Drosophila melanogaster: one gene and its partner. The protein of the gene in region 1 interacts with the protein of each later gene in a pairwise test. Each region holds a gene or a part of one and is shown on either strand. Other genes may lie near its edges.

What was found.
Region 2: the proteins of h-cup (region 1) and CG17739 interact in a two-hybrid assay, tested with the Drosophila melanogaster proteins (one large-scale study listed by BioGRID).

The regions. Positions count from the first base shown.
Region 1 is NT_033777.3:15,380,691-15,384,559, reverse strand, and holds h-cup (heineken-cup), read left to right. Parts: upstream 1-1,608; 5' UTR 1,609-1,690; coding exon 1,691-2,461; 3' UTR 2,462-2,678; coding exon of another isoform or gene 2,679-2,906; 3' UTR 2,907-2,965; coding exon of another isoform or gene 2,966-3,064; 3' UTR 3,065-3,153; downstream 3,154-3,869. Other genes in the region: Rbp (RIM-binding protein), read right to left, coding at 825-1,303, 1,370-1,493, 2,679-2,906, 2,966-3,064, 3,232-3,397.
Region 2 is NT_033778.4:12,304,770-12,311,094, forward strand, and holds CG17739 (uncharacterized protein), read left to right. Parts: upstream 1-1,758; 5' UTR 1,759-1,784; intron 1,785-2,509; 5' UTR 2,510-2,518; coding exon 2,519-2,696; intron 2,697-2,789; coding exon 2,790-3,178; intron 3,179-3,231; coding exon 3,232-3,693; intron 3,694-3,749; coding exon 3,750-3,921; intron 3,922-3,985; coding exon 3,986-4,107; intron 4,108-4,171; coding exon 4,172-5,470; 3' UTR 5,471-5,643; downstream 5,644-6,325. Other genes in the region: salto, read right to left, coding at 1-132, 196-356, 451-702, 760-1,102, 1,162-1,229, 1,293-1,329; CG30203 (uncharacterized protein), read left to right, coding at 5,956-6,121, 6,177-6,325.

The DNA of each region.
Region 1 (3,869 bases):
ATCTGCAATTAACTTAAGCCGTCTCCAAGCGAGGATTCGTGGTTATGCAACACGGCTAGCATCCAATCATCACCATTAAAAAGTTTATCAACGAGTAACGGAAAGCTTTCAAACATGTAACTCCTTCAAGAGATATAAACTTAGTAAGTATGTATATGTCTGTAAATGCAGCAGATGCATGAGCTAGGTTGTGTACAATCAGTTTAACAATATATGAACTTCGAAGGAATGCTTCAAAACTATTTGATTAGCTTGCAAGAAATGAACTGAGTATAAGAAGCAGTTCTTCGATTTGTGCATGACCAATGATATATGAATATACATTTGAATAATATTAGTGACATTTATAACTAATACCATCCTCGATACGAGTGATTTACAATGAAATTTTATAGCATGCCAGCGAATTTGATTTCAATGATACAGAGAATACTTATGTAACAGGCAATCAAAGGTCGAATACAGATACTCAAACGATTTAGTTTTTAAATGGTTGTGTTTGTGATTCAGTGTAATGTGATATTCGGTGGGTGGCTTTCGATGTGAATGTATTTATTTTCATCAGTAATGAGACTACAACAAACGGCCGGTGGCTGCAGCAGCGACGATCAACAGAAGCGGATGGTCGCTATATATGCTATATGCTATATGGCTAGGCTATATGGCTACTCAAACGGATCGAATTTACATACAACTTATAACGCATATATATAGCACTTTCTAGATGTGGCAAGCTTTTAAGCAAATCGATCGGCAGCGGTACATAATTGCTGTGGTTGCTGTTGTTGTTCGTAGTTCATTGCGATTGAAAATAGGTGGTTTACCTGACTTAATGCCGTTGGCATAGCCTTCATCGTGTGAATATTTACCGGCAGGGGTGGAATGCCAGTGATTCCACTAGTTCCGCTCAGCAGTTTCTCCACGGACGTCTGTCCGGTTCCGTACTGCATCGATTGAATGGCATGGCTGCTTAGACTCGAGGATATGCCGCTGATTGAGTTGGGCACCAGGGCCGATATGGATGATAGGCCGCCTTGGCCGCCGCCCCCGACCACGCCTCCCGATCCAGCGGAGACGCTGTGGGCGGCAGCAGCGGCGGCCGCGCTGTGCGAGCCAAGACTGGTGCCGCTCAAGCTGGTGCTGGCCCCACCATTGGGCAGCGTGGAGGCCAGCGATTGCGGCAGGCTTGAGTAGCCGGAGGATAGGGCGGAGACACCGCCGCCGCCGCCGCCGACGCCACCTCCTCCTCCTCCGCTTCCTCCCAGAACTGCTCTTTTGTAGCGGTTCAGTTCTTCTTCGAGTTCTGCGGGCATTACAAATTCCATTCTATATTCTATTTCTGTATTAGTGTTATCTCTGGCTTGCTTACCACTCTTTGATATGGTTCTAAATTCGCTATTTACCGTGCTCAACATGGAACTGGGCGGCAATGCTGACATGCTGGCGCTGGCCGAGGTGCGAGGTTGTTCCAGCTCGGCCAGCACGCGATTATCCTGCAATTAGGCAATAAGGATAGATAGATTTGTAGTAAAATGACAATTCTCTAGAGAACTTGAATGTACATCTTAATAGGCTATTACTTTAGCATTGATCTATTATTTCCCCAACTGCCCTGAGAAGTCCGAAGTAGACAATTTTGTATAGAAAAAAATCCAAATTCAACGTGAGCAATCCAAACCAGATTGGACGGATGGATAGCTCGGTGCCATCCGGAGCCGAAAGCGGTCTTATCAAGGAGTACAAGGACTTTGCCAAATGCCTGGACGAACTGGAGTTCAAGACCGATGAGCTGCTAATCGATGCTAAAATGGTGGATCAGGAGTTGGCCAACTGCCACAAGTTTCGCGAGGATCAGCTGCTGAAGCATCTGACGGAGAAGAACGACGACGACGAGCAGATGCAGTTGCTGCGGGAAAACATCGAGCTCAAGGCGACCGGCGTTGAGTTCCAACACGGCATTGAGCTGATCATGGAGAAGTACCGTGAGCACAGCGAAGGGGACATGTTAATCGATACCTACCAACTGAGGGAGCACTACCTGGCCGGTTTGTCGAAGGTGGTCGAAGAGCAGGATGCCCGCATCGAGCGTATGGTTGATGTGATGAAGCTAACTGTCGACTTCGAGGACCGGAGCAGTGCCGAGAACCAGCAGATCATTTGCCAGCTGACTGATGAAAATGAGCAGTTGCGTCGTCAGTTGCAGATCAGTACCACCGATGAGCTGTTCCGCCAGGGAGCACTGAGCTCCAGCGAAAGTAGCACTCAGATCGGACCAAACGATTCTTTGGATTCGAGTGCCACCCGGGAGAATAGCATCTACAGCATAGATAGCTTCCTCTCCTGCCTTTCGCCGAGCAGCGTGGAGGATGATTCGGAGTGCTCATCCAACAATTCGCTGCTGAGTGAGCTGGAAGTCACTTGCTTTATTGAGGAGGCTCTGGCCGAGAAGCCCGAGGAGTAGACCTACAACATGGACGAATAGGCACAACACACGTTCCTGCCCCACTGCAACACTGGCTGTTTACGTTGATTGAATACTTGGTACTTGGTACCCGAAATATAATTTCATTCGAGGCTACACTATCCACACACTACTAGCTGTCTGTTAGCTGTTGCTGTTCTTTCATAAAGATCTATATACCATTTGCACTCCTAGGAGATTAGTTGCACTTAAATACCTGCTCAATCTTTGCCATTATGATATCAATCTCGGATCCTTGGTCCTGGTGGCTGATTGTCGGTGCCCAAGTGACGGTGGAGCTGCTGGCCGATGTAGGAATGGTCGCGCCGCCACCGGAGGACACGCTCCCCATTCCGGAGCAGGCCGAGCGGGATGCCTGTTTGGCCTTCAGAGCCGACGTCAGTTCGATTTGCAGCTCCTCGCAGCGCACATTTTCCAGCGCAACCTATGGATTTTTAGAGTTCAATACGATTGAGTAGATATGATTTGAGGGCATATAGTCACCTTCTTTTCCAGTTCCCGGGCTCTCGACTGCAGATTCTCCACCGCCTCGGCATCGGGACGAGCGCTACCGCTCAGATTGCGTATTTGTGCCAGGGTTTCCTAGGATAGCATATATATATAAATACAGATAAACAAAATGTTCTATAAATCCTATAACAATACAATTGCAATATACTGTTCTTAAAATCAAACTATAGTACCATAGTTTTTCATCTGAAATTCCATTAATATGTGCATGAGTTCACGGTACCTGGAAGGACACTCACCTGATGCGCCCGCTCGATCTCCGTGCGCCGCATCTCGGCATCGCGCAGCTGCAGGCTGAGGGCGTCCAGCATTCCGTTGGGGGTGGTGCCAGCGGCCACGGCAGCGGCCGCCGACTGATGATGGTGCATCGACTCGTACGGCATGCTGTGGCTGCCCCTCGGACGACTGCAATGGAAGCGATAATCGCACATGAGAATGGGGTCAGTGAATCTGCAGCACGACGAATGGACGAACTGCCGCTGGGCAAAGACTGCAGGACTTGGCAGCTATAACTAGTTGCTGCTTTTATTATCCCTTATTTATTCATGCGCCTGATGGCTGGTGCCTGCTGCCTGGCGAATGTGGAAATAGGTCAGCTGCCTGGCACGCACGTGTCCTTGGGGTTCAGTGTGTGTGCGTGTACGTGTACGTGTGTGTGTTTGGATTGTTGCGAACTTTGAACTTTGGGTTAATTGCCTGCCTGACCGTATTTATTGTCCACGCACAGCCTACAAAATCTTATATTGGTCGGCTCGGCTCATTCAAACGCTTATCTTAATTTCATAGTTTGCAGCACAAGCTGTCGTTTATGGTTTATGGTCAACGGTATGCCAAAGGTTTAATTAAAATTATTTCTATTTTAATTCGCCTTGCTTTT
Region 2 (6,325 bases), on another chromosome or scaffold:
AACCTCCATGGCCTGTTTCTGGGAACGCAACTCGGACATCTCGCGATAGAGACTTTTGTTGGGTGACTCTTGTTTGGAGCATGCACCGCACAACTGTTCGATCTCCTCGACGATTAAATTCATTTTTTCTTCCTGGAGACACAATAAAATAGTTTCACATTGCTAGTGCATCATAGCGGTTGCACAAAAACATACCACTAGGTTAGACAACTTTTTTTGAGTTTCCTCACGCTTTTCACTAGCCTCGAGATCATTTTTAGCCCTCTGAATTCTTGGTATATGGTCGTAGATTAACAAAACCCCCTGATCTACAATCGCACGACACCTGGTTTTCAAGTCATTCATACTTTCGGCGGCTAGAAAATAAAAGTATGCAATTGTAAGCGAAAGAAGGATAATTCAAGGATAACAATTCATTCAATCGAAGACGTAAAATCAAAACGAACTTACGAATACTCTTGGGCAATCGAAGTAGATCATCATGGTGGACCACAAGCTTGCATTCATCGTTTACAGTCAGACCCACAAACTTGAAGACCCCTTGATTCCGGAGCTCCGAACCCATTAACCGGATCTTGTGCATAAACTCGGACTGCAGGTTCTCCAGTTTTTTTTTCTGCGTATCAAAGACCCGCATCCGGTTCATCTCCAGGACACGGCGATGCGACATCTTTTCAGGCTTCTTTACATTTTGATAAGGTTCTGTGGACGGCAATAATCAGAGAATTGGACCACGTTTCAAATATTCGCGATACCCACCGCATGTCGTTGACTTAACCAATTGTGCTGACTGGGCATGCGTCTTTATGGGAACCACGTTCCGCTTGGGGGGATTCAACTCATCGATATCAGTTTTCCGATCGGGCTCAACTACTTTATGCTCGGGCTCGACCCGTCGATTGGGCAACGAATACGTACTGACACACGGGCGCGCTTTCGTCGAAGAAGTAACCCGTTCCAGAGAAGTTTTTCGCGAATGGATAGACGACCGACTCGCTCCACGCCTATTTGGAATGTGACTGAGCCTACCTTTGTTTGGGCTTCCGTCGCCATTCTGGGTGGGAGGAGTAGAGAAGACGCCACCACAAGAAGAAGTGCGAGACTGGGACGGGGATGTAAAGCATTTGAAAAAACTAAACCCTTTTCTTCTATCTCACTCACCCATGTAGCTTTGTCTGAGGCTTGCTTTTCCGCCTTTCCAGCTGTCCTCAGCAAGAATGCTTTGTTACCTAACAAGGATAACGAGCATTTGAAGCACACATTCGTATAGCGTTCAAGGTACATGTACTTACTACGAACTGAACGCGGCGTCACGCTGGAAGAATTCATATCTAAAGTTTCGGAAATCAACGCTTTTTTGTAAACGATTTTTGTGTTCAAAATGAGGAAAAAATAGTATAGAAAATTTGTTTCTAAATATTTCCAGTTGAACTACGTCTAGTGTAAATGGTACAAAAATGCTTTCTGACCAATCCAAACGAGGTGGTTCGTGGAAGTAACATGAATTCAAACTCAGAGCACACTTGTTCAGTTCCAATGTACCCGGTGTTTTTGGGGTCTGTTTGTTTAGAATGAGCGTATGAAAACTAATGGTTTCTATCAACAAATGCGAATCTGCAAAAGAAGCGGAAACTAAGCTAAATGGGAGGGAAAAGTAGAGAGCAGTTTTTCCCTCTCTGAGGTTCTCCATGTAATCCATTCGTCGGTCCCGAATGATGCACATCGTCCATCCAATAATCGACTCGGCGAAATTTGCATTCAGTTGCTGTTCGTGCGTCCACCGAGTAAGTTCTTAGTTCGGATTTCCCTCTAAAAGCATATATTTCGAGATTGTTTCATTTACGATCCATCAATACTGAGTAACAAGAGTATGAAAAAACAATCTGTACCACCTTGCTATTAGTTTATTTTCTCAAAATAACTTAATCAACTGGATTAACATACATGATGTGCTAGTGAAAGTGGGTGCTACAATATAAGTGCAGTACTGAGGTGAAGAAGCCCTAAAAGTGACTTTAATGATTTAGATCCATGGGAAATGGACGTTTGTCACCCCCTTGTATTCGAATTCGCTGTAGACAGTCGGCGCGTTTTTCAATTGAATTTAATCAGTGACGTAGACGGTCTATATAGTACAGACTATATATTGTATATACGCAATGCGATCCGATTTTCAAGGGGTAAACAACCAACAACCCGCCTAGTTCAAGTTCCGCATGGCAATTGAGCTGGCATAATTTGGATCTCAAAGGAAATGGAAAGTGTCTGCGAAAATAGCAATATGCACTATGTGTGACATCACGCAAAGTCATTCAATTGAAGGCTATTTCTACGAATTCAAGTTCAGTTTGAAACTGGAAGTAGGCTCCATTGGTTGCCATTGACATTCGATACCAATGCGGATAATTAAGACAATTAAGTGCTGGCCAGAAATAGTTTTTTCCCCCACAACCACGTGGCTGCATCAAATGATTGTAAATTTGTATTCCCACTCAATTTTGCATTGCAGCTCTTTGAAATGAAAGCTCTGGAAGGTTTCACTATTCTTCTCGCATTAGTGGGTGTTATTCCCCGGATCGAGGGCTGCATTAGGGTCCCACCGGGAGTCACAGCAGCCAAGTCACCGGTGGATGATAACTATGTGCTGTCCGTAAACGGAAATACGCAGAGTTATGTGCCCGGTCAAAGGTATAATGGTGAGTGCATTAAATTAAGCATTAAATTAAATTAAATTTACAAATTTCTAGATTTTTCTTTCAATTCTCTAATCTTTCGCTGCTCGTTTTCAGTTAGCCTCAGTGCATTTTCTGGCTTGTCCTTCATTAGCTTTATGCTGGCCCTGGATTTGGAGAGTGGTGACGGCGATGGTGACGCCAATGCCCTGGGCACCTGGGAGATCGCCGATCTCGCCGAGACCCGTTTCAGTCCGCGCTGCCCAAATCTTGTCGAGAATACCAACACGAACGTGAAGACACGCGTGGATGTGTTCTGGGTGGCTCCATCGAGTCCGGGACAGGGCTGCATCCTGCTGAGGGCTACGGTGATGCAGCATCGAGATGTGTGGTTCATGGATGATGGCTTCCTTACCAAGCGTATGTGCGAGGAGGAGGTGGACGACATTGACACCCAGCCCAGCATCGTGGATCCGTGCTGTGCCTGTGACGAGGCCAAATATGAGGTGGGACTCTTTTAACTCATTATTGAAATGGTATTAACACCTCCTTACTTCAGCTTACCTTCGAAGGCAAGTGGTCGCGTCACACACATCCCAAGGACTTTCCAGCGAATAGCTGGCGCACCAGATTCAGCGATATCATTGGTGCCTCGCACACACTGGACTACAGATTCTGGCAGTATGGAGAGCTGGCCAGCGAGGGGCTGCGTGAGGTGGCGGAGCATGGCTCCACAAGGACCTTGGAGAGTGAGCTGAAGGATCAGAGCGAACACATTCGCACGATCATCAAGGCAAGGGGCATTGCCTATCCGAATGTTACGGGCAAAACATTTGCCGTTTTTCGCGTCGACTCCAACCACCATTTGATCTCCCTCGTATCAATGGTGGATCCCTCTCCAGACTGGATCGTTGGTGTATCCGGCCTCGAGCTATGTCTGCCCAACTGTTCCTGGGTGGAGAACAAGGTGCACAACCTATATCCCTGGGATGCGGGCACCGATAGTGGTCCATCATATATGGTAAGACGATTTCCATGATTTAGTCTTCAGTAGAGTCAATCACGAATACTTTTCAGTCCGCTGACCAGCCACAGGTGCCTCCAGATGTTGTGCGCCGCATCAAATCAAATTTCCCCAACGATCCCCGTTCGCCCTTTTATGATCCCACTGGTGCCCAGATGAAGCCATTGGCCACCCTGCACATCAATCGAAGACGACTCTACGAAAAGAACTGCGAGTCCTCCGATTGTAAGTTAAATGCAACCATATATTGATGTTGTGAATATACATACTATATACTTTAATCCTGTAGCGGAACAGGTACCGCCGGAGTGCGCCACAAACTCGTGGTCCAGATGGGATGAATGCACCACAAAGTGCGGTCCCGGCAAGCAATACAGAATCCGAGAGTTCAAGAACCCTGCATTGGCTTCGGTAATTAAGACGACATATATAATTTGGATCCCATACTATATATACATTTTGACACCTACCTTAGCGTCATCGTTGCAACAATGCCCTGCGTGAGGAGAAGAACTGCGTGGGACACAAGTGCGCTGGCTTCAATGAGGAGACAGCTGAAGGCGGCGAGCCGGAGGTGGCGCCATCACCAGGTAGCAGCGACGATCCCCAGTGCGGTCTGTCTGACTGGTCGGAGTGGTCTTCGTGCACCGTGACTTGTGGAACCGGCGAAATGACCCGATCCCGACACTATCTAAACAAGAAGGCCAAGAAGAAGTGCCAGAAGGCAAGCAGGGCGCGTCTGCATGAGACCAAGATTTGCGAGGCAATGGAATGCGGTGGGGACATCGAGAACGAAGGTGGTGCTGGGGAACCGGAGGAGGAACAGGCCGGTGGCGACGGAGGTGGATCCGCTGAGAAACGCTCCATATTCCGCAACTTCGAGAGTTACAGTCAGCATCGGGAGGATTACATACCACCGGTTTGCGGGGTCACTCCATGGTCGGATTTCTCGCCGTGCATGGGGCCATGCGGTGGACATGGAAAGCGGCAACGTATTCGCAAGGTGTGGAATAACAACCAGGTGTACGGAGTAACGGATCCCAATGATGACGGCCAGGATCCCTGTCGACACATCAAGCTGCACGAGGAGGTGAACTGCACCAATCCTAGCTGCGATACCATTGTTCCCGGCTTCTGCTACGACGAGCTGACCGACAGTCCGTGTCGGGATAACGATGTGGCCAACTTCTGGTACTACGACCATGTGAGTGACCAGTGTGCCATCTATTGGTCGGATCGTTGTGATACAAATCGCAACAAATTCAAGTCGAAGGAGGAGTGCGAGGAGACATGTCGCCTGCCGCGCCACAAACAGGAACTGCAGCACGATGGCATTCCAGCCATTGATTGTCTCGTCTCTGACTGGGTTTCCCACAGTTGCAACGCCTCCTGCGGCGATGGCTTCCAATTGCGAACGCGTCGGGTGCTCCGTACTCCGAAGTATGGAGGCAAGCCATGTCCCAAGCACCTGGTACGTTTGGATCGCTGCTACCAGCGGTGCGATGACATGTACTCAATCAGTGGACGGGGATTTGGAGAGCGAAGGCATGTGGTAAGAGCTCCGCAACCGGAACCGCAGGACGAGTGTCGCTACTCGGAGTGGTCCGCCTGGACACCATGCACCGCCACGTGTGGCGATAATGCCGTTCGCCAACGAACCCGAACCCTAATGAACACCGATCTGAGCTACAAGTGCAAGGATCGCGTCCGCATGGAAAAGTGCGTGATGATGCCTTGCCAGCTGACCAGCAACGATGATCCAGAGCGGTGGTGAACATACCATTAACTGCTACAAGTATTAGTTCTAATCCAACTATGTAATCATTACCAATGGATATCGTTAAATATATGAAAAATTCCAGACTACCTACACTAGCTCTTCTCGCAACAGATTAAATATGTATTAAAAACAATAAAACAGAATTGTGTTCGCGTGGTAATTCCAATTCCGATTGAGTTTAACCTTGACCCAGTTCCATTAAGCAAACAGTGGCCAGTTTACGAGTGATTTTTCGCCGGGTTGCAAGTTCAAAGAACCCGGGCACAATTCATCAATTGAAAAGCTTGCCATAAAAACAAACCATTCCTAATTGAAGACAACTCAATCAAGATGCCATAAGCTGTCAACGCCGAGAGCGCCATTTAAGGGATAATTGATAAATTGGAAATGCTCATCAATTAATGGAGATGGCTAGCCATCAGTTTTGGTCAGTCGCCGTTGAGCCTCGACCCAGTACGGATCGCTAAGATTGAGAAGAGATGCTTCGCCATATCGTGCTCCTCATTCTGCTGTCTTCCGAAGTCAGAGGAGTCTGCAATCGGATACCCCAAGGTGCCAGTGGCCCTCGATCGCCTGTGGATGATAACTTTAAGATCCTTATCGATGGCAATCCAGAGACCTATGTGCCAGAACATCAGTACAATGGTGAGAGTCTCGAGTTGTCCTGAAGCTTTTACTTCAACATTATTATCATCATAAGTTTCGTTATCCTGTCCAATAAACATGAAATTCGTGAGCTTCACCTTGGTGGTCGAGGCTGAGGATCCGTCGGCTGCCTTCGGTGGTCAGGATATGACCGGTCACTTTGAACTGCTGGGAGTCGGAGACACCCGATTCAGTACCAGTTGT